Caenorhabditis elegans: one gene and its partners. The protein of the gene in region 3 interacts with the protein of the main gene of each other region in a pairwise test. Each region holds a gene or a part of one and is shown on either strand. Other genes may lie near its edges. The genes, in order: aars-2, cki-2, cye-1 and nova-1.

Region 1 (5,577 bases), 2.8 Mb from region 3:
GATAAAACACGAAAAATCGCCCGAATTCAATTGGATATATCTTTTTGGATATATAATTGAATATATTGGATAGATATATTAATATTTTTATCAATTGATTGTCCCAGAGCAGTACACGACCGGGAATCAAGAAACTTATCTCTTAAGCATATGTCTGGAATTTGTTCTCAAATCATTTTTCTAATCTGCAAAATTGCAAAAATCTGCTCTTTTCCTCCGTAAAACACATTCATCGCCATCTGGAATTCATTGCCGTTCCGTTTCTTTTGTTGTTCTTCACATTTTTGTCCATTGTAATGTTCAGATAGCTGTGCCACAAATTAGAGATGTCTGAAGTGTAATGCCACGTCACTTTCAGAAATCTCCAGAATCTTTCGAAACTTGTTGGCTGACAAGTCGAAGGTACTTTTTTTTTTGAAATCGATCGAGGTGTTGTTGATCCGCGAGTTGAGCAGCTGTCCAGCTGTCGCGTCCAACCCACTCAAAATTGTTGTTTTCGTGAAATGGGAAAAAGTTTGGCCTCTATTTACTGCATAAACATTTTGAAACCTCGACAAACCAGCAAACAAATTGAAACATAAAATAGAAATACGAAATAAATATAATGACGGGGAGGGAGAGCAATGAACTAGAATGCAACAGACAACAATAAATAGAGGAAAGGAAGCGATATGAAAAACAGGAAATAGATTGAAAATTGGGGAAATTAATTGATTGCAGCAAGGGCAAATTTCTGGGCGAGTTCGACGGCAGCATCAAGTTTATCGACATTCTCTCCGGTGAGCTGAGCATTTGCGTCCTTTCCACCACCTTTTCCACCGAGAACTGTGCAAACTTCATTCACCCACTCGTTGGCTTTCAGGCCGTTGCTCACCAAGCTCTGAAAAAATTATATTATTTTTCTGAATTGTTTCAAAATTTCAAATTTCTCACCTTATCAACTTTAGCAAGACACAAAACTTTTCCAGAATCTTCATTCACAGAGAAAGCCATAACTGCTTTTGTGTCCTTGAGAAGTTTCAGAGCATTATCGATGGCTTTGCTGTTAGCATTGGCGGCGAAGACGTGAACGAGAACAGTAGGCTGCTCAGCGACAGCAGCAAGTTCCTTGGCTTCTCCAAGAACCTTTTCAGCGACAGCGGCTTGTTGTGCCTTTGTGTATCCATCCAAAGTCTTCTGAATGGCCTTTGCCTTTTCACGGATAGAATCCTTTCGCCAGTATGGCAGCTGAGCTCCGTTGGCTTCATCGACAATTTCTTGAATCTTCTTCTGGAGAGCCTTGAACTTATCCTTGTTGGCCAAGAGCTCATCCTTCTTATCGGCATGCTTCGATTCTTCTTCTAATCGAGCAGTCAGTCGATCGGCTCTGGCAATGGCTCTTTCAGCTTCTGGTCCTGTCAATGCAACGATACGACGGATTCCTTTAGCAATAGCTTCTTCCGATGCGATGACAATGCGGCCAATGTGAGACACGTTCTGGAGATGGCTGAAATTATAAAAATTATATCAAAATTTAACGGGTATCATCATAAAATATAAAAAGAATTAGTACTCACGTTCCTCCGCAGAACTCGACAGTCGTGTTCTGTCCCTCCTCTGCATCAGGATTCTGGAGAAGTTGCTCAACTGGAGTTCCGACAGCGACAACACGAACTGGATCTGGGTATGTTTCATCAAACATCGCACGAAGTCCCTTGACTTTTTTGGCTTCTCCAAGTGGCGAGTTCTTGGCGTAAACTTGTCCTTTTGTGTCAATCAGCTGTTGAGCGTATTCCTCGGCTTTCTTCACTTGCTGAACAGTCATTCCAGCTTTGTTGGTGAAGTCGAATCTCATACGATCTGGAGCAACGAGTGATCCCTTCTGATCCGAATCGGCGAGAACTTTGCGAAGAGCATAGTTGAGGACATGAGTTCCGGTGTGATTCTTCATGATCAGTTGCTTCCGGTCTTCATCGAATCGTTCGTTGACCTGATCACCGACTGAGAAGCTTCCTTCGGCGGATCCAACAAGCACGATGTATCCACCACGAACTTGGCAGTTGCTCACGTTGAACTCGTTCGACTCGTCATTGACTTTTGTCAAAACTCCGACGTCGTAGATCTGACCTCCCTGCTCGGCGTAGAAATTTGTCCGATCGAGAAGAATGGCTCCTTCTTCTCCGGCAGCAAGTTGATCGACAAACTTTCCGTCTCGGCGAATAGCAAGAATCTTTCCAACGCATGGCTCAAACTCTGAAGAAAAATAATTATTACAAGTTCATAAAAACAAACAAAAAACATACTGTACACAGCATCGGATCCTTCTCCAGTAAACGTGTAAGCGTACTTTGGCGAATCGTCGGTAGTTGGAACTCCCTTCTGTTGAAGCTCAGCCAATGCGTGAACATCCAAATCCAGCGTGTCACGGAACTTTCCAGTTCCAGCTGATGATGTCTCGATGGCTTTCCTGCGAGCCTCCTCGAAAGCAGTATTATCGACAGACAATCCTTTCTCTTCGGCCATCAGTTGAGTCAAGTCAGCTGGGAATCCATATGTATCGTAGAGTCTCCATGAAACATCTCCAGGGAACGTCATGGTTCCTTCTGGAAGCGATTGAACAGCGCGTTGGAAGAGAACACGTCCACGAGACAACGTTTTCAGGAATTGCTTCTCCTCGTCGTTGATGATATCCATGACGGTCACTGGATCACGGCTGAGTTCTGGGAAAGTCTCTCCGAGAATTGAAATAACCACTGGAACGAGTGATGCGAAGAATCCAGGCTGTGCATTCAACTTTTCGCTGGCATAACGAACTCCACGACGAAGAATTCGACGGAGCACATATCCTCTTCCAGAATTATCCGGACGGCCACCATCAGAGAGAGCAATGGTCAATGTTCTGACGTGATCAGCAACTACACGATATGCCATGTCCACTCCGTCTTTGTCTTCGTCACCAATGAAGCCAGTATAGGCACGAACGCCACTTCCTTTGTGAATCGCCTCGAAAATTGGTTGGAAAATGTCCGTATCGTAGTTGCTCGTCTTATCCTGCATCACAGCAATCAATCGTTCGAGTCCAAGACCACAATCGATGTGCTTCGCTGGCAATGGTTTCAGGACGCCTCCTTCCTCGCGATTGAATTGAATGAAGACAAGATTCCAGATTTCAACAACCATTGGATCATCGGCGTTGACAAGATGAGATGCGTCACGATTTCCAATGCGATCATAGTGAATCTCAGAGCATGGTCCACATGGTCCAACATCTCCCATCTCCCAGAAGTTATCCTTCATACCGAAGTTCAAAATGCGCTCGTCTGGCACTCCGACGGATCTCCAGATATCACGAGCTTCAGAGTCGGCGGGGACTCCGTTTGCCTCGTCGCCACCAAAAACCGACACATAAAGACGTTCCGCTGGGATTCCGTATACTGTTGTGAGAAGTTCCCAAGCCCATGTGATGATTTCTTTCTGAAAATTATTTTTTTAAAGAAATTTAATTAACTAAATCAATTTCTAACCTTGAAATAATCACCGAAAGACCAATTTCCAAGCATCTCGAAGTATGTGTGATGGTAGACATCTTTGCCGACATCGTCCAAGTCGTTATGCTTTCCACCGGCGCGAATGCACTTCTGCGTGTTCACGGCTCTTTTCAGCTTGGCAAGGTCGCTGTTTGGATCGGCGATTCCGAGGAACAACGGCTTGAACTGAAAATTTTAATTATTAATTGCAAGAAAAGCCGTTTGAATATTCTTACTTGGTTCATTCCCGCGTTGGCGAAAAGAAGAGTTGGGTCATCGTGCGGAATAACAGACGACGAATGTACATAAGTGTGCTCCTTCTTCTCTCGGAAAAAGTTGATGAAGGTAGAGCGGACCTCTGAGGCAGTCAGGTGCTTCATAGTAACCCAGGAGAGGTTGCTCTGAAAGAAAAAACTTTAAAATTGTTTTTGCTAACTTATAAACGACGAAAAATAGGGGAGGCGAGATTACGAGAGATTTCGCAATGAATCGAATTCGATTCGGTGCGAATTGGGTGCGAGAACGAGGAAGCTGAACAAAGAAAAATCGAAACAGTGCGCGGAAGAAAGCGGAAGCGCGGAAAAAGACAAGAATAGCGAATAAAATGAAGAATGAGTGCGGGAAACATTTCAGTGAGGTGGGCGGAGTCCAAACGCAAGCGCCGCACACTTTCTATGAAAACCGCGGGAAAACTTCATTTTCAAAATTTAATTTTTTGCGGTAGAAAATTTGGTCAATTTCTTTCATTTTTATCATCAAAATGAAATAGGAATGAACGCAAATCCATTTGTAAACGATTCGATTCATAAAAGACCCAGCACACATTGTTCTCTTTTCCATCTCTAAAATTTGTGTAGTCTCTCACTCGGTAAAACTTGTCAACACCGCATTCAATATGTTTTTCTGTGGAGCAATAAATTGATTTTCATTTGAAAAAAAAACAACTGGATAGATAATAAGATAGTGCCGAACATGATAATTTTAAGAAAATTGGGAAATTACAAAAAAACCCGAAAAAAGTGTTAAATCTGAAAAACTGATATATCTGTGAACCTTTAGTTTTAGAATTACGTGGAATAGATTTTTAGTACAGGAACACAAAATTCTGAGAATGCGTATTGAGCAGCATTTTGCGAGCAAAATATCTCGTAGCGAAAACTACAGTAATTATGTAAATGACTACTGTGGTGTCGATTTACGGGCTCGTTTTTCGAAAACAATTAAAATAATTGATTAATCGATATAATACTAATAGTAAGCGAAAAATGAGAAAATAATACGAAGAACCGAAGGAAAATGGAATATCACTGTCGCTCTTCAGAAATAAAATCTCTTGTCTTGTCAGATCGATAAATTCAAGCTGGTCATTGAGTTGCTCTTTTTCTCCGAAAGACTCACTCTAATCTTTGATTGAAAATCGTTGTATTTTTTTTTAATTTTACATTTATTTAAACTTTCTTCATTTTCTCAACTGGATATTAATTTAGTTGTATAGCATAACTTTAAACCAAGTACGCAACATTACAGAATTTTTTCTAGAATGTCCGTCAAATTATTCTCTCTACCAAGTGTGGTTCATTCACAATTGCTCAAGGAAATGAATGAACCAGACGTTTTCATTTTATCTCTTTGTTCGAAAAAATCTGCATCGGTCGTTCGAAAGCGAATCCTGGAGGTGCCTTCTATAGAACATACGTTCACGAGAACAGATTCTTTTCATATGCATGGTTTGAATGTAGAGAGCAAGAAATATAGACTTCAGCTACTATTTACAAGTGATCCATCGCCAAAAAAATTGATCTTTATACTGAAGACAAAGCTACTTCTTATTGGGTTATTCAAGTAATTTTAGAAACGAAGAATCAATTAAGAAGAAGTACAAAATATTGTGAGGTTTATTTTAAACCATTTACAAACTTATTTACAATTTACCAATAACTTATATATATATATACCAGCCGTTCGCACGCGCTGAAGCGCGTGCTCCGACTGGCGTACTCAAAATTGAAATCAAATTCTAAATTTTCTAAGCCTTCTTTGCAGATGGAACGTTTTTTCCCTGATTACCGGA
Region 2 (5,842 bases), on a different chromosome or scaffold from region 3:
TGTTTGAAGATGAATATGTTATTCAAATTGTATCAAACATGGATCTGGAAAAAGCCAATATTCCTCGATTATCGGTTAGTTAAAAACTTTTTTTTGAATATTACTAGCTAAACAGGACCAAGTTCATTACTGCAAAGTTTCACTCTTAATTCCAGAACATAATATCAAAATCAAATCGTACTGTGGTTGTACACAATAATCCATTACTACTCAAGCCAAAACGTTTTCCATTTCAAGTTACATATGCTACGAACGTTGTATTTATAGGAGATTATTATGGTAGGTTTCTCTTGAATTTAGGCGTATAACTTTCTTATTCATAATTCAGCAAATTCCTCATCAGTTTCTTGTTTTATGTCTCGTTTTATTTTTGGCATGTGTTTTATCGAAATAATAAAACTTGTGCTAAATCTCCCAATAAAATATCGCCAGTTTCTTGTTTTCAGGTCCGTTTTTGGAAAACCGTTGTAACTTTCTATTGCACATGTATGGCTCTTAAAAATAATCTGAAAACCATATATCTTATAAGGAAACACTAGATTTCATATAACCAAAAACGTAACATTTAACAAGAGTAACTGGGGAGGTAGGATATAACGGAATGGGATGGGTATTTATAACTAGAATGTCTATGATTTGAGTGGCATGAAGGGGCCAATTAGGGAAAAAAACAGAAACTATCTAAAATAATTCAGTTTTTGAAAAATTGAAACGGGGATATGGTGGGACTTTTTTTACAGGAGTAGAACACAGAAATGGACAGGGTATGGGAATTTCAAATTCACAGATAAACGGGGGATGGGGTATACGAAACAAGGAAACAATATATAGAGAAATTCTCTAAAAAAAAAATAAAATATGCAATTTTTCAAACTCAATTTATATTATGAATATAAAAAAGTAGACGGTGAAAGTTCCACTTTGAATGCAATTATGACGAACAGCTGATTGAGATTGATTGTGTGGTACTGTAGAAGATGAATTGGCAGACTGAAAATAGAAATTTCAATGTATTAATTTTGGCAAATAAATTCAATGTATATATTGCTGACGTCACTCACCGTTGAGTTTTCAATCGGGGGCGGAGGTAAAAGCAGTTTTTTACAACAAGTCAACTGTACATACATACATAACAAGTCAACTGTACGTACATACATACAATTATTCCACACAGTAAAATTCAAATGCTATGAACCCCCACACATAAATAGTCGACCTTGTCCCGTGATTGCGTCACTCAATTGTCTCATACTCATCATTCGTTATCTTTAATGAACGTCTTATCGAGCAAAACGAATCTAAGCTTGCGCAATGGGCCGTCGTTCAAATCACATTTACTTAATTTTGAACAAAATTATAATGATAACTTTTCTCAGAATATTACAAACATGTTCTAACAGAGGAAAATTGGTTGTTCTTTTTTCTATGCAGAAGTTCCAATAATATATGCAAGTCGCCTTATAATTTGAAACACATTCTCAATTAATAGCCGCTTTTCATTTTTGTTCCTTTGTTACCCATAAAACCTCCTTATTGTCTTTGTAAATTGTACTATGTTTCTATTAGGAGAAGCCGACATGCCGTGGACAAATAAAATGCCTATTTATTCTTCTAGATTCACATCTGACATTAGGGTTATTTTGGAAATCCATACAAAATGTTAGATTAGCCAACAGCAACACAGTGAGTATATAAAGTTAGAAAATACCAATACGTTCAGTTATTGGGTTTAATTGTAACGGAATATTCGTTCACCTTCTACCTTTCCGCACTTCAATTTTCGGAAAAACATCAAAAGGTACCGAAGTGCCAATGGATGCATCTGTTCGTTCACTGCTTTTCACTTCCACTAAACTATTTTCTCTCACAATGGCGGCGATTTCTTTCAACTGGACACTTCTACTTTCACACACATAAGCTGTGAAACCGAAAAAATCCCCCTTTTCAAGAAAATTCACCAACGAATATCGAGAAGAAAAAAGAGAAAATGGAGGATAATGGCCGTGGCGAATGGTGTGATTGGTGCAGAGAAACTGGTTTTTTGCCCATCAAACAGTGTCGCAAAATGTGTCATAAATCTCAATGATTTGAACGACTACTTTTTGTTCCTGGCTGGATGTGAAAGTGTATAGAACTAAGACCAGATTTAAACTGAAAACAAGAGCGAAGGTCGAATGCTCTCAATAATTTTTCAATTCTTTGTATTTTTAAACATAATCGCCACTTTGAATTTCATGTCATGTCAATACATCCAGACGGGTGGTTATTTGTAATGTCTCCGACTACTACAAAAACCATCACACCGGCAATCAGTACAGCTGCGATGAGTGGCAGATAAATGAATGAATATATTTTCACGACACCTCATTTCAAAGACCATTTGCCGCATCATGTTTCATGTACTCCGCTTTACACGAAATCGTTTGACCTAATTCATAGTGATTGATTTGAATTGAACCCATATGTTTGAACGAATTAAATGAATACCTCAAGAAGTTGAAGAGCATGATGACTAGCAATTGAATGACGAGCTTCTCAAATTCAAAAGTCCCCGGCTTCAATGGGGCGACGAGAACGACGAGTCGAGGTAGTCATCTTCTTGGCTGGTGGCGAACGAGGCGAACTAACTAGAACAGTATCCGAGGTAGACGACTGTGCGGACTTTGGCACATTTGATGCAACAAATCTGAAACGAAAAAATTCGTTTCAAAAATTCATTCATTAATTAAAATTTATATCAAACCTAAGTGGCCGTTTCGGAGCTCCCTTGTTGTTGTGGACAATCTTACTTCCACGTTTTTCCTTGCAAGATTCCATGCTCGAGTCGATTGAAACTGAACGACTCATCGAAACGGCAGCGGTGACCAGGCACGTCTCACTACGGCGCTTTCGAACTGGCATGTAATCTAAAATTTATTTTAATTAGTACCCTTGCAATTTTTTAATGGTTCAGTTAGCTCTCGTCCTCTAAATAAACGAATAATCTAATCAGATGTTCGGGCGGTCTGGTGTAAAGAGGAAATTGAATTGAGCCGATTTACGCAAGTCTTAACGCAATATGGACCTTCGTAGTCAAAGGTAATAGATAAGAATCTCGATTGTCATGCATGCACCAAGGGATACTTAAAATAATTTCAAATTTTCATGCTACCCTCTACGCGAAGTGCACAACAAATTTAGCCAGTAATTCTTCCCGAACACATGCAATTTGAGGTTCCATCTGCTCCCTCAATTACGTCAGCCACCAGTTAGTCAATTTTAAATTCTTTTTTCTTTTTCCCAAGGCCAGCTGTTCTTTTCTCGAGTTTCACGACGGTATGCATAACTTGACATAACTCATCACGGAAGAAAAGTGATCGATGAGCCGTTGAAAGGTCAACCATATCGCATGAACATATGAGAGAACTGTGATATTTGAGAGGAATAGACGTCGGCCGTTCCGGCGAAAAAGTCCGGATGGTTTTTTAGGAATAAACAAATGACGACGATTTGAAATTGTTTTGAAAGTGGTGCCAGCGTTAAATTCGATAAAAACAAACTTGTCAATTTTGTCTGCTTCAAGTTGTACGTCTCCTGTTGTTCGATTGATTGTTTAGCAGCAGACGATCTATTAAAATAATTATTTTCAAAGTACTGAATTTCTGATTTACCTGGTCACAGGCTTCTCGTATACGGTTACTTCAGTAGACGTAGAAGCAATCAAAAGTGGAGTCTCGTTCGATTCCACGACAGGAGGAGATTCTGAAGGCATCTCAACAGTGTCAGAAACCGGTGTTGAATTCCGTCTGGCAATGATTTTTCGCGGCCGAACAATCTTCTCTCGGTAAAAGCTTGGAACTTCGGAAGCAGAAATCGACTCGAATTCATAGTCTCCTCGTGATCCAACGATTGGAACTCCGCCAGAAAAATCGAAATTAAACTTGCGAGAATCCTTTTTATACATTTCTTCCAGACTGCTGTTGAGCTGTCGAGAAACCTGCTAACTTTAACTATGAATATCAGATTTAAAATAATTATTTACCTCTTCTGGATCGGGTTTTCCGAAGAGACATCTAGCCGCCTTTCGCTTCCCGTCGCCGGCTGTTGTTGCCGCCATTTGTGTTACTTCGTTTCTGAAATAATTTTGATAAGAGAATTTGAAATAGTAATGTAAGCGAAAAGTGCGGTAAAACGTACATTTTTTGCCGGTAAGAAAATAAGAGAAAAATGTGAGTGCGCCGCGGCAAGATCGATCGATTAGGCGGCAAAAGTGTGAAGAGTGGTGAGAGAAACGAGACGACAGCGAGTTTCGAAATGAAATGGTAAAAAGACGAACAAAGAGAAATTAGTGAACAGTTTGTGTGTGTTAGATTCACGTATAGACTAAATTTTAAAACAAAAAAGGTTTTTTTTCAAATAAAAAGGCGTTTCGATTCAAACTCTTTGTTGTTGCCGCGAGAAATGCGGCAAACCAGATTATCAATAGCGCGCGATTGCTCTTGGATTTCAGAAATATGTTTTTTTCGATTAAATCTTTCCTGTTATTTTTGAGCTCAAAATTTGAGTAAAAATAGAAGATAAAACTACGGGAGGTCCTGATAAATCTCATTAAATAGTTGAAAACCATAGGTAAATAACGTAATGCTTATCGAGAGGAAATCGGCGGTCATAAAAATTGTACTCTGAGAAATTCAACAAAAGTTCTATTGCACGGCTAAGAAAAAATATTCCAACTTGACAGAATGTAAATCTTTCTAGAATATAAAATGACGAATAATGCCAAATACATAACTCACGTTCCCGATGTCTCGAAGCGAACCAACTTTAGTTAATATGGAAGTACTGTAGGTTACGGTAAGATCGCGACGAGATATCAGTCACACAAGTCAAATCGTGCATCTTCAGATGATAATAATGCATGCTTTGAACTTTGAAAACGAAAAATCGTCCAACTATTTTCTAAAATCTAAAGTTACTTTTAGGGTTTCCATTTTCACCAATTTCATTGTGACCTCGCCTGTTTGGTCACTCCCAGTCAATTTTTCTATCCTTGTGCCCTCATCATAGTCTTTTCCATTTTCTCTCGTGGCTTCAATTACCAGCTGTTGCGCATCTCGACTTCATAATCATTCCCCGACACCCTGTGCAATATTACGTCACCGTCTACCACACACCTGCCGACAACTGCAGAATATAACCAGTTGAATCCCTCCGGAAGAAGTGTATTAGTGAACGAGAACAGTTGGTGTGTATATCGTTCAAGTGGGGGTGACTAGGGGACAATTTAGTGGAAGAATGTTAATTAGGATAAGTGACCGATTAGGTGGCAACATGTGTGAACAGAAGGCTTCATGATACCTCAGCTGGTGGCAGTTTTTGAGGAAATTTGTTTCAATTGTATGTTTCACAAATTGCTGCATTTAAAAGTTCAAATATAGAAAAGACCACAATTTGAGCAATTTAAGATTGTCTAGAAATAAAATCACTCGTCTGATTTTCTACCCTTGGTATATTGCCAACTTCACTATATTTCAATTCAGTTATTTTTCGAGTTTAAACTTTTGAAAAAATGAAACTAAAATTCAACTTAACCCCCCATGTACAATTTGATAATCGTAAAAAGATCAGAACTGGTGGTATTGGCTGTATGCCAGCTCCTTTTGATAACCATTTTTGTCGTCTTGACTGCCGTAAACCTGTCAAACTGTCAAAAAACCCAACTATTTACATATGACCAGAAAAGTAGAAGTTGAAAGCATCTCTTCTAGGTGAAAAGGTGTATTATATGTACTTTTTTATCGCGAACTACTTCTTTCTCTCAGTAGTTTTAATTGTCTTTCATATACTTGGAGAAGTATGACAG
Region 3 (6,048 bases):
GCAAGAAACTACGAAGATGAGTAGTGTTTTAGCCAAGAAACTAAATAATGATTCATTTTTTGATAAGAAACCCTGAACAAATTTTAACAAAAAAAGAAGATTAAACATTAATTAGAAATTCACGCAAACTTTTTTTTGATAAATTTTATGCTCTTTGGAATTTCATTTACAGTGTCTACAACTCTGCAATACACCTACAGTACCCCTACCGTACCACTTAATATAAATAAGCCAAAATCTTAAAGTAATTCTACAGTATTCCTGAGATGATAATTCATTTTAATTTATTGGAATATATTAATTTTTCATCAAATAAGTAAAAAAAAATATTGGAATGATGTCCTTAATTTTTTGCGGAGTAATTTCTGCTTTTTTTCCGAAAATTTTTCAGTGTTAAGAAATTTGGAGAAGGCATTTTGTTTCAACTCACGTAAATACTGTGCTTTTATAGTTTCTTAATTTTAAAATTTGAATGATCGTATTGTTGAAGCTAACAGAAACCCGCATACTCGTTAAAAATTGTATTTCGTATAAACAAACAGACAAAGACGAGTTGGGAGCGGGGTGGGGCAGAGGATATGTACCAGTTACAGTACCTGTTAAAAAAGTTTAGGGAGAAAGAAGCCTATTTCAAAATTTCCAGTTTTATGATACAATAAAAAAACCTAAAACATAAAATAAGCACAAAGTAAGAAGGGGAAGTGAGATGAGTAAAACAAAACATTAATAAGTTAATTGTAAAAGGGGTTTAAACACATTACAAAAACATCAAAATTCGGTAAAATAAAACGGAAATGCATCTTTCGATTTTCGGAATTTGAATATTTTTGTAATATGGGATCACTTGTTAAGTGAAGTTTTTGATATTTTCCGGGGTGCAATCATATTGAAATGGCACAGACTAGGTGAAAGAGAGAAAGAGATTGAAGGAAAGAATTAACGGGGACAACCTGTGTGCATGATTATTTGAAGTAAGTAATCTACAGAAATTTCGATGATAAAAGAATCCTATTGCGGGTTATTTTAGAAAAGTCGTTGCGGATGAAGACGGCGAGCTTTTAAATGCTGAATCCTCTCTCGTTCGCTTTTCTGGAAAAATAAAAATTATGAAAACAACCTCTAATTCATGAATTTTATATATCCACCTACCACAATAGGTTCCATTGAACTCCTTTTAACGTATACTTGAATATTGTGTGAATCATCCGATTTTATTGATTCATGTTTTGGAATAACATCGTCAAGAAGTTGTCGTTGTTTGGCGAACGCCCGGCACACCGGTTCAACATATTCAATAACTTTTTCAAGTTGAGCCTGCATAAATCCGGTAGCCTTCTCAACAGCACAAGTTGGCTCATAGTTGACAAAAAGAACAGCAGCAGCGATGGTACGATAGGAGAAAGTAAATGAGTCGATCTCAAATAGCAGAAAATCGAGAATTTTACACATTTCAAGATATTCTGAACGGAGTAATTCTGGCACGTACATGTTTTGCTCTTCGTAGTGATCAGACTTGTTCTTCTGAAAAAATATTTTAATCAACAAAAAATTTAAAATCCTACTTTGCCGGTTCCGAGTAATTGAAGATATGTTGAGAGCCATTGAATACTTGTGATTGGCCCAAGACTCCACCCAATATACTTGACGATAAGAACTTCCATAGTTCGAATATTATCACAGGTGAATGCACTATCGGTGAGATGAGCAAAATCGATGCACTTAGGTGGATAAATTTCCTGAAAAAAAAAACAAAAATTAATGTGAATCTATACTGTGAAAAAATTAATTGAACCCAAATTCTAGATCGGTGAAATATTTTATTAAAATTATTACCAGGCTTGCCGGTTTTTTTGGATTTTTGAAAAAGGGTGTAAATCGTAATATAAATATTTAATTCCGTTTGAGAACTATCGATTTTGAAGTGTTTTAGAATTTTTTTCGGTTTTGCTAAAAAAAAAAAACGAAAAATGTGTCAGTGAAACCCCTGATTGTTACCTCGTATTTAGCAGCTATAAATAGAGCAGCCGTCCCGACCAATTGAAAATTATCCGTTGAACATTCAACATTTGATGACTCTAAATATCTATCAACATAATCAACAGCCAAATGAAATGTTTCTCGGTGCAATTTTTCTGATTCACACACTTCCATCATCCAATCAATTAAAATACGTCGCTTTTCATCATCCATATCCGGATGATTTCCAAGCAAGAATCGTGTAGCACGTGGAATTTCGTCTCGTTTGACCATAAGAGACCAAACTTTTGTTGGTGATCCTATTCCATCGCATTTTGCTGTGCTGAGAAACGTTGGAGCCGTAACCATATGTTCGTCGTTCATGAGCCGTTTTGTAACGGCAAATCCTTCGTTTTGGACAGGATAATCTAAATTGTATCAAAATTGGGTAGGTTTTTCAGCTTGAAACACTGATACTCTCTTTGGAGACACTATTTTTTATCAAATTTTGATCTAAAATGCTAATAATTTCAAACGCATCATGAGTATTTTTGAAACTAACCATCTTCATCTTCAGATTCAATTTCTTCGTACTCCTCTTTATCGTTAACAACATCCTCCTCTTCATCATCAAAATCATCCTCAATTTCTTCTTCAATATCCTGTCTCTCTTCCAATCGGACCATCTCATGACTTTCTTCAGATTCGGCAAGATTATCAGATGAAGATGATTTATCAAACACTTCTTCTTCCTCAGGCATAGCTGGAAGTGGTTGTCCACGGGTTCTTGATGATTGTGATGATGAAGATCCAACTTCACGATCATCTGAATATTCTTCAAACAGAATATCATTTTTACTCTAATAAAACTAGATTACCACTAATATACTCCAAAGAATCTTCGCGGCTACCATTTCGATGCTTCTCGCCCGAATGACGTTTTGCAGCTGGACCTTCCTGTAAAATTAATAAATTATCAAACAAGATTGAACCACTATATAATTTTGTTCAAATTTAGGAAACTTATTTGATCGTCATGATTCTAAGCAGAAGCCAAAATGCAAAAAGTATTTAGGGGGCACCCGGAGTTGAACCAGGGACCTCTCGATCTGCAGTCGAATGCTCTGCCACTGAGCTATACCCCCAGATGAACAGTGAGACTCAGACGGCAAACAAGTATTGGACATACAAAGCGGACACAAAACTGTGTTCTGCATACGAAAGAGACTGGTCACTATGACTATCGATGTCTGCGTCTTATTTTCTCGCAAATCTGAGGTGCTGGTGTGAACATGAGATGAGAGAAGAAAAAAGAAAACGGGAGAATGAGTACATTTTGGCGCACTATTACACTGGTCAAATACAAAGTGTCTGTTTCTCAGTGCAAACTTTGTTTGCAAATTATTTAACGAGAGATGTTTCCTGTAGAACCCAGACTACTCAATATTGAGCGTTTGACTGTTAGTTAGTTACCCACGAAATTCAATTAATTTGTTAGACATTGTGTTTCTGGATGAATGCTGTTACCTAAATAAGTTAAATTCAAAACTGAAAATATAGCAAAATGTGTTTAAATCTAGAAATATTTGCTAATTTTGTTGGCAAATTAAAATGTATTCCTTACCCCCATTCAGCTTAGTAACAATCCGCAATCGTTTGACAGTTTTTCTTACGGTTTTCGAAAAATTAGAAGCAAAAATCTCTTTAGGCATTTGTACAAGTAGTAATATTATAATTTAAAAAAGTACTTTTCTTATCACTCTCTATTTCATTTCCCTTGTTCCATCTTAAAATGTTCACTGATAAGCACACAAACCTTAGTACTTCGTCGTTTTCTTGTCTCAGAACAATCTGATTTCTGACTTCCAACGCTCGAATTTCGGGTATTTCGTTGTGGAATATTTTCCTTCATATCAATTGCAGTCTCCAGAAGACGTTCACGCAGTTCGTCATGTGGAGATCTGAAAATTAAAATTTTTCGAAAGATGAATAAATATTTATAAAGTCTAAAAATTATCAGTTCTCTAATATCCATCTAAATTCAACTTACAAAATAGCAGATTTTCTTTCTGGCTTTTGTGTAGTGGGGACACGTTCAGCCGTCCTTGATGACTTTCTTCCAGCCATTTTGATCAAATTTCCCTGAAAATATCAAGTCGAGCTATTCAAAATATTCAAAAACAAATAAATAGGAAGATAACGACTGAAACTGGCTCAAATAACAAATGTTGTGCAGTTTTGAGTGTACACAATAGGGAGAACATAAACTATCAGTCAGAGGTGAAGAAGAATAAGATTTTAAATTCATAAAATCAGATAAGATTTGGTACAAGTGAATGAAGGTCGTTTTGGTTTTAGATTTAGATTTGCAGTTATTCCATTAAAAATTATTTAAGATTTGAATTAGGTGTGAATTTAAAATATAAACTGAGCTCATGAAACTGTTCATGTTTGCACGATACTTTCTATGCTTGAAATTTAGAGATTGATATCTGATATTTAATGAAAATTAATAAAGAAATATCAATTATACCATAACGAATGTCTAGTGGACATTACGCAATCAATCTGTGAAAGTTCAGATAAAACCGAAAAAGGTCAACTACAGACAACCTCCGTCATATGGTCTCTAGATTCAAATCGCGCGCTCATTTCGCGCGTTCCCTCCGATTTGCCGCCGTCCTCCCTGATGGTCTTACCACGATCTCATGTTTCTCTGCCGTCTCCAGAGAGATGAGAGGGTGCCTCTTGACACAGAGACGCAGGCAATCGACACGTACCAATAGAGGGCACAGCAACTGCCTCCGGAGATGTCAGACAATTGAGAGAATGAAGAAAAAACATCCGAAACACATCTTGCAGTTGTTTTTGTTTTGTTTTCATAAGCTACCAAATAAGGATAACGTTTTTCAAGTATCAAAACCTTCAAAACTATATCTATTATTTTTAAAATTTCTCTCATTTCAAATTGTATTTTAAAAATTTGATTATTGCTTTAATTAAATCTTTTGTAAAATTTTAATTTTCAAATTTTCAGCAACATGTCAGACGATGAGGACGAGGGTCGTCTACAGATCGATGAAAGTCCGTCCGATTCGGAAGACAAACCATCGATTTCAGCGCCCCCACCTCTTCCTCCACCGTTGCAGGAAACCCCCGAATTTCAAACAACTTATGACGGTACGTTATTTGTTTCAATGATTAACAAAAACTTCTAAATAATTTTTTGAAATTTCGTTTGAAATTTTTTTTAAGAAAAAAAAAATATTTCTCGTAAATCTTGAAAATTATTGCATTTAGCTCACGATCAAGCGGAAACTTCTGGAAAAGAAGACGGCGAGTTAGATGAGGATGATGAGAATGATGATATTGAACCAATGGAAATTGATGAAGAAATACAACTAGAAATTGATGAAAAACCAGAAGATCTTGTCAAAGACGAACAAATATCCGAGCCTACTGATAAAATGCGAGAAGAATTTTTAAAAGTGGAAAAAACAGATGAAAATGGTATGAAAATGGTAAACGGAAAAGCAATGAATAAGAATGAAAGATTGCGAAAAAAAAGCAATTTATTTCAAACAAAAATTTTTGGGATCAGTGTGAACACCGCCACGCGTAAATGCACGAAAGTCGCATCTACCGTAGCTGCTCAAATAATTTCAAAACTTTCGAGAGATCCTCTAGGGAAATGGAAATTCAGGCTATTAAAAACAAAATAGATAAGCGAAGGCACTAAAAATTAAAAATTAACAATTAAATTGCTTAGATAGTCTACTGCAAATAGCTCTCTTCATTAACATTTAAAAAAAAATTATGAGCGCAATATAAGAAGAATGTTCGAAATTTTAACAGAGAGTCCAAGAAAAGTAAATATACTCATAAAAACTTGATAAAAAATATTTATTGAAGAAAAAACACGGTTTATTTTTCCAGCTGTCGTTGAGTCAACATCATCATTCTCTCCGAAGTTAATCGATGAACAAGATTTAAAAGTTGAAGAGATGTCAGATGAGAAACATGCTCAATCGCCTGTTTCATCCGATATGACAACATCAAAAAGTCCAACACCTTCCAAAAAGGAAAATGGAC
Region 4 (4,891 bases), on a different chromosome or scaffold from region 3:
CATCAGGAAAACTGCTCAAAATTACAGCAAAACTGGCGATTTTTACCAAGTTTTATGGTCTGCCAGACTACATACTACACAAAATGTATTTAGCAGACCCAGAATCCATTTTTCTTGCATTTTTTATTGATCAGCGTTAAAATTTGCAATTTTCGTGATTTTCAACCCACTTTTCAGCAAAAAATTCAGCTTTTGAAGAAAAATCGTAGAGAAAAACCGATTTTACGATTATATTTGATAATTTAGAAGGAAAGCTCGATTTTGAAACGAAAAATCGAATTTTTTGCAAATTTTCACACGCAATTTCGAGAAAATCGCGTAAAAAACCAAAAATTTGTACGAAACCAAAAAAAAAAACGGAACGCGTCCTCCTTCGAAAAAAGAGCGCGTAAATACGAAGAAATGAGTCAGTTGACGGACACAATGATGAGATGAAGAGACGGCAGACAACGAGAGGTTCCATGTTTTCTCTCGTCTCTCTCAGCTCTCAATGCTCTCTAATCGTCGTCACTTTTTGTCCCTCGCCAACATCGAAAATCGATGGGATTTGTTGGTGGGACACTTGGCAGCATGCCAAGTGTTATTCGGAGAGCAGATGGCCAAAAAGAACGGCGAGAGCGGGGCAATTTGGCAAAAAAAAATCGATTTTTTCCTAAATGTGGGAGAAAATTAGCGAATTTTAATGCTGATTAATAAAAAATGCATGAAAAAATCCAAAAATTCGCGAAAAAAAAATGGATTTTGGGTCTGCTAAATACAATTTTTGTAGTTTGTAGTCTGGCAGACCATAAAACTTGGTAAAAATCGTCAATTTTGCTGTTATTTTGAGCAGATTTCTGATTTTTTCGCGGGAAAAAAATTCAAATCTTGCATTTTCGCGGAATTTTTCAGGAAAAATTAACGATTATTGCCTTAAAAAATCAATTTTCACACAGAATTACGCATAAAATCACAATTTTTCGCCAAAAAACCGTTTAAAAAAAATGCATATTTTTCTATGGGAAACCGAGTTTTTTCCGTCTAAATCTGCTTATATTCACCTAAAACGCAAAATTTCGTCGAAAAAAATATGGGTCTGCTAAATACATTTTGTAGTTTGTAGTCTAGCAGACCTACTCTCAGAAATTTGGTCTGCTAGACTACAAACTACAAAAAACGCTAGCATACCAATCGAAAAATTGAGAGATTTTCGTCAGATTTTGAGAGGAAAATGATTTAAAAACGAGGTTTAAAGCAATTTTTCAAATTTTTTTCAAAAAATTCCAGAAAAACCGGCTTTTCTGGAATTGGGGAGGAAAATTAGTGAATTTTAATGCTAATTGGTCAAAAATACAAGAAAAAATAAAAAAAATTCGCGAAAATTTTTTTTTTGGGTCTGCTAAATACATTTTGTGTAGTTTGTAGTCTGGCAGACCATAAAACTAGGTAAAAATCGTCAATTTCGCTGTGATTTTGGGCAGTTTTCCTGATTTTTTCGCTGGAAAAATTCAAATTTTGAATTTTCTCGCAATTTGAATATGAAAATTCACGAAAATTGACTCAAAAATCGATTTTTACAGAGAAATATGAGTAAAATCACAATTTTCGCCAAAAAACCGTCTAAGAAAACGAAAAATTCATATTTTTCTATGGGAAACCGAGTTTTTTCCGTCTAAATCTGCGTATTTTCACATGAAAACGCAACATTTAGTCGAAAAAACTATGGGTCTGCCAAATACGTTTTGTAGTTTGTAGTCTAGCAGACCCACTCGGGTCTGCTAGACTACAAACTACAAAAAACGCTAGCAGACCAATCGAAAATTTGAGAGATTTCGTTAGATTTTGACAGAAAAATTGATTTAAAAACGAGATTTAAAGTAATTTTTTAATTTTTTCAGCAAAAAATTCCAGAAAAACCGGTTTTTCTGGAATTGGGGAGGAAAATTAGTGAATTTTAATGCTAATTGATCAAAAATGCAAGAAAAAAATCAAAAAAATTCGCGAAAAATGTTTTTTTTTGGGTCTGCTAAATACATTTTGTGTAGTTTGTAGTCTGGCAGACCATAAAACTTGGTAAAAATCGCCAATTTTGAGCATTTTTTCCTGATTTTTTTGCGGGAAATATCTCAAAATGTGCATTTTCTCGACATTTTAATGTGAAAATTCACGAAAATTGACTTAAAAAATCAATTTTCACAGAGAATTATGCATAAAATCACAATTTTCGCCGAAAAAACTCTGAAAATACGAAAAATTCATATTTTTTGTCGGTTTTCTGTGAAAAACTGAGTTTTTTCCTTTAAATCTGCTTAATTTCACCTGAAAACGCAAAATTTAGTCGAAAAAGTGATGGGTCTGCTAAATACATTTTGTAATTTGTAGTCTGGCAGACCCAATCTCAGAAATTTAATCTGCTAGACTACAAACTACAAAAAACGCTAGCAGACCAATCGAAAATTTGAGAGATTTCGTTAGATTTTGACAGAAAAATTGATTTAAAAACGAGATTTAAAGCAATTTTTCAATTTTTTCAGCAAAAAATTCCAGAAAAACGGGTTTTTTAAGGCAAAATTCAGTTTTTTAGAACTTTTGTAACAATAAAAACTGCAATTTTACCGGAAAACCAGTAGAATTTAAATTTTAACTCATAAATTATACAGTCAAATTTTAAGTCAATTTTCTTGCAATTTTCGTCAAAACGGCGTAGTTTTACCCAAAAACTTGCTGAAAAGTCGAAAAATCTGGATTTTGGCGTAAATTCCACCATTTTCAGCCGAATTTTTCCGATTTTTATCGAATTCAAACATTATTTTGCCGGAAAATAAGACAAATCAAACAATTCTGTGAGAAATATCAATTTAGGATGGAAAAATTGCGGAATTAATGGAAAAATTGAATCCTAAGAGGTATTTTTTTTTTCGAATTTTACCTTTTTCAAGTTGAAAAAGCACGAACCTTCCATTGCGCTTGTTAATTCCTTCAGTTTTTCGTCGAAAATCAGCAAAAAAGCGCCGAAAATTGGGTGAAAAGTTCGAAAATTGGAAAAAAATTTATTTTTTTTTATTGCGCCGTACTACGGTAGACAGAACACGCCGTGCGGTGTTTGCGGAGTTGTGTACCGTAGTCCGGTTTTTAAATTGAAGTTAATTTAAAATGTTTTCAAAATTATTGATTTTTAATGAAATTTCCTGAATTTTAGAGTCAAAAATTGGTTAGAAATCGTGAAACTTGAGAGAAAATCGTCGAAACTCTCAATATTCCGGGTTGAAATTCAATTTTTCATCTATATTGAAACAAAAAATCATTTTCTCAAAAAAAGAAAATCGTGAATACTTGAGGTTTTGTATAATTTGCACCGGTTATCCATGCATTTCCATGCAAATTAGTTAAAAAATCTAATAAATTTCAATTTTTCACTTATAGTTTTTCTCACAATTTCCAGCAAATTTTCGGGAAAATCTCCACTTTTCAACAAGGTTTGCAATTTAATACAAAAATGTCTCAAAATTGTAATTTAACAAGAAAAAAAACAGATTTCAACAAAACAGTTTATTTTAATGAGAACCACACGAGTGAACAACAGTTTAATTTATTTCTTCTTTTCGATTTTGATAGAAATATGATCGTATAAGAGGCTGAAGTGAGAGCCATTGTCATAGTCAACGCGAAAAGGTCTTCTAGCAATGAAATTTGGATTGAAAACTCGCACAACTCCAACGCTGAAGATATTTCTAGAAGTGATGATTCCAGACTCAAAAACAGTCGATTTCAAGAGAATCTGGAAAAAATGACAATTTTTTTGAAGGAACATTAAAAAACTAACATCTCTGATTTTAACAGCATCAGCGACAGAAAGATACGCCGTATCAATGAAGAAGTGGGTAAGATGGAAGAGATTTTCAATTGGGAAATGCTTCTCTCCATATGAATCAATAAAAATCGACTTGGCTCTTTTCCATTGCTCCATTTCAAATAATTGATCGACGTAATCTGGATTCCCGCTGCAGTAAATGCAAATTTCTTCTAGAAATCCTGGTTGAAGAAGCGGAAAAATTGTTGCGGCAAAAGTTGGAAGATTAATGGAAAAGTCGATTCTTTTTACCTTGTAGAGGTTTTTTGAATCGGACATTTCTTTGAACCAATTCATAAATGTTTCCTTCTTTTGAATACGATCATATCCTTGGAATTCAAGGACTTCCAATTGAAGTTTCGAGTTCTTCATCACCACTGACAAGTCTGTCTCAGCCATTTTCAAGCCGTTCACTCCTTTAAAGCGCTCATTCCGATCATTGTAGTTTACTGTGCAATGCGAATGACTGAAATCATAGTGAATTACAGTAGATTTTGCGTCAAGCAGCCACATCTGGAATTGAGAGTGATGGATGTTAAGTACAACGCGCTTGATTCCAGGATCCTTATTATCGACGATTGCACGAAAGTTGCGGCAGACTTTACGGACAGAAAGCCTGAAATTTTCAATTTAATTAATCCTCCAAAAACTAGTTCTGATTATACCGTTCGATTGGTTCAACCTTTTCCACAATTTTATGAATGACGTCCAATGGCAAATTCGACATCGATGGAGCCTTGGAGCACGGCCTCTCTCAATTTCATTTATTTCAAAATTCCTCTTTTTCTCTCACACTCTCTCACGTGAGATTGAAAATTGAATAATATATGTGTTTTTAAATTAAATTCAAAATATTGACGAAGAAACAACTTTGGTATAAATACTGATTTGTTAGGACCGATACCAAATGGTAATTTTCGGACATATTTGATCTCGTAGACAACGGCTCACTATTTCAGTGATCTTTAAAGTAATAAAAAATTCTTCAAAGTTTGGTACAGAGAAACTGAAGTAGTTACATTTGTAGAAACTTACATAACTTATAAACCTACCGTATTCCTA

What was found.
Region 1: the proteins of cye-1 (region 3) and aars-2 interact in a two-hybrid assay, tested with the Caenorhabditis elegans proteins (one large-scale study listed by BioGRID).
Region 2: the proteins of cye-1 (region 3) and cki-2 interact in a two-hybrid assay, tested with the Caenorhabditis elegans proteins (one large-scale study listed by BioGRID).
Region 4: the proteins of cye-1 (region 3) and nova-1 interact in a two-hybrid assay, tested with the Caenorhabditis elegans proteins (one large-scale study listed by BioGRID).

Annotation. Positions count from the first base shown.
Region 1 is NC_003279.8:3,981,514-3,987,090, reverse strand, and holds aars-2 (Alanine--tRNA ligase, cytoplasmic), read right to left. Parts: upstream 3,909-5,577; 5' UTR 3,887-3,908; coding exon 3,743-3,886; intron 3,693-3,742; coding exon 3,504-3,692; intron 3,454-3,503; coding exon 2,283-3,453; intron 2,233-2,282; coding exon 1,557-2,232; intron 1,487-1,556; coding exon 934-1,486; intron 881-933; coding exon 707-880; 3' UTR 510-706; downstream 1-509. UniProt on the Caenorhabditis elegans protein: Catalyzes the attachment of alanine to tRNA(Ala) in a two-step reaction: alanine is first activated by ATP to form Ala-AMP and then transferred to the acceptor end of tRNA(Ala). Also edits incorrectly charged tRNA(Ala) via its editing domain.
Region 2 is NC_003280.10:7,814,962-7,820,803, reverse strand, and holds cki-2 (Cyclin-dependent kinase inhibitor domain-containing protein), read right to left. Parts: upstream 4,305-5,842; 5' UTR 4,177-4,304; intron 4,115-4,176; exon of another isoform or gene 4,113-4,114; 5' UTR 4,097-4,112; coding exon 4,022-4,096; intron 3,980-4,021; coding exon 3,651-3,979; intron 3,608-3,650; coding exon 3,540-3,607; intron 2,907-3,539; coding exon 2,744-2,906; intron 2,687-2,743; coding exon 2,542-2,686; 3' UTR 2,488-2,541; intron 991-2,487; coding exon of another isoform or gene 932-990; 3' UTR 528-931; downstream 1-527. Other genes in the region: irld-47 (Receptor L-domain domain-containing protein), read left to right, coding at 1-74, 156-279, 329-471.
Region 3 is NC_003279.8:6,778,856-6,784,903, reverse strand, and holds cye-1 (G1/S-specific cyclin-E), read right to left. Parts: upstream 4,099-6,048; 5' UTR 4,084-4,098; coding exon 4,007-4,083; intron 3,918-4,006; coding exon 3,773-3,917; intron 3,102-3,772; exon of another isoform or gene 3,030-3,101; intron 2,914-3,029; coding exon 2,835-2,913; intron 2,792-2,834; coding exon 2,519-2,791; intron 2,385-2,518; coding exon 1,996-2,384; intron 1,737-1,995; coding exon 1,563-1,736; intron 1,522-1,562; coding exon 1,150-1,521; intron 1,090-1,149; coding exon 1,024-1,089; 3' UTR 508-1,023; downstream 1-507. Other genes in the region: pqn-21 (C2H2-type domain-containing protein), read left to right, coding at 4,998-5,136, 5,257-5,466, 5,893-6,048. UniProt on the Caenorhabditis elegans protein: Essential for the control of the cell cycle at the G1/S (start) transition. In association with cdk-2, regulates proliferation, quiescent state and cell fate during the development of several cell lineages.
Region 4 is NC_003283.11:18,078,890-18,083,780, forward strand, and holds the start of nova-1 (K Homology domain-containing protein), read right to left. Parts: upstream 3,018-4,891; 5' UTR 2,942-3,017; coding exon 2,935-2,941; intron 1,152-2,934; exon of another isoform or gene 1,067-1,151; intron 1-1,066. Other genes in the region: fbxa-106 (F-box domain-containing protein), read right to left, coding at 3,569-3,757, 3,803-4,445, 4,495-4,582.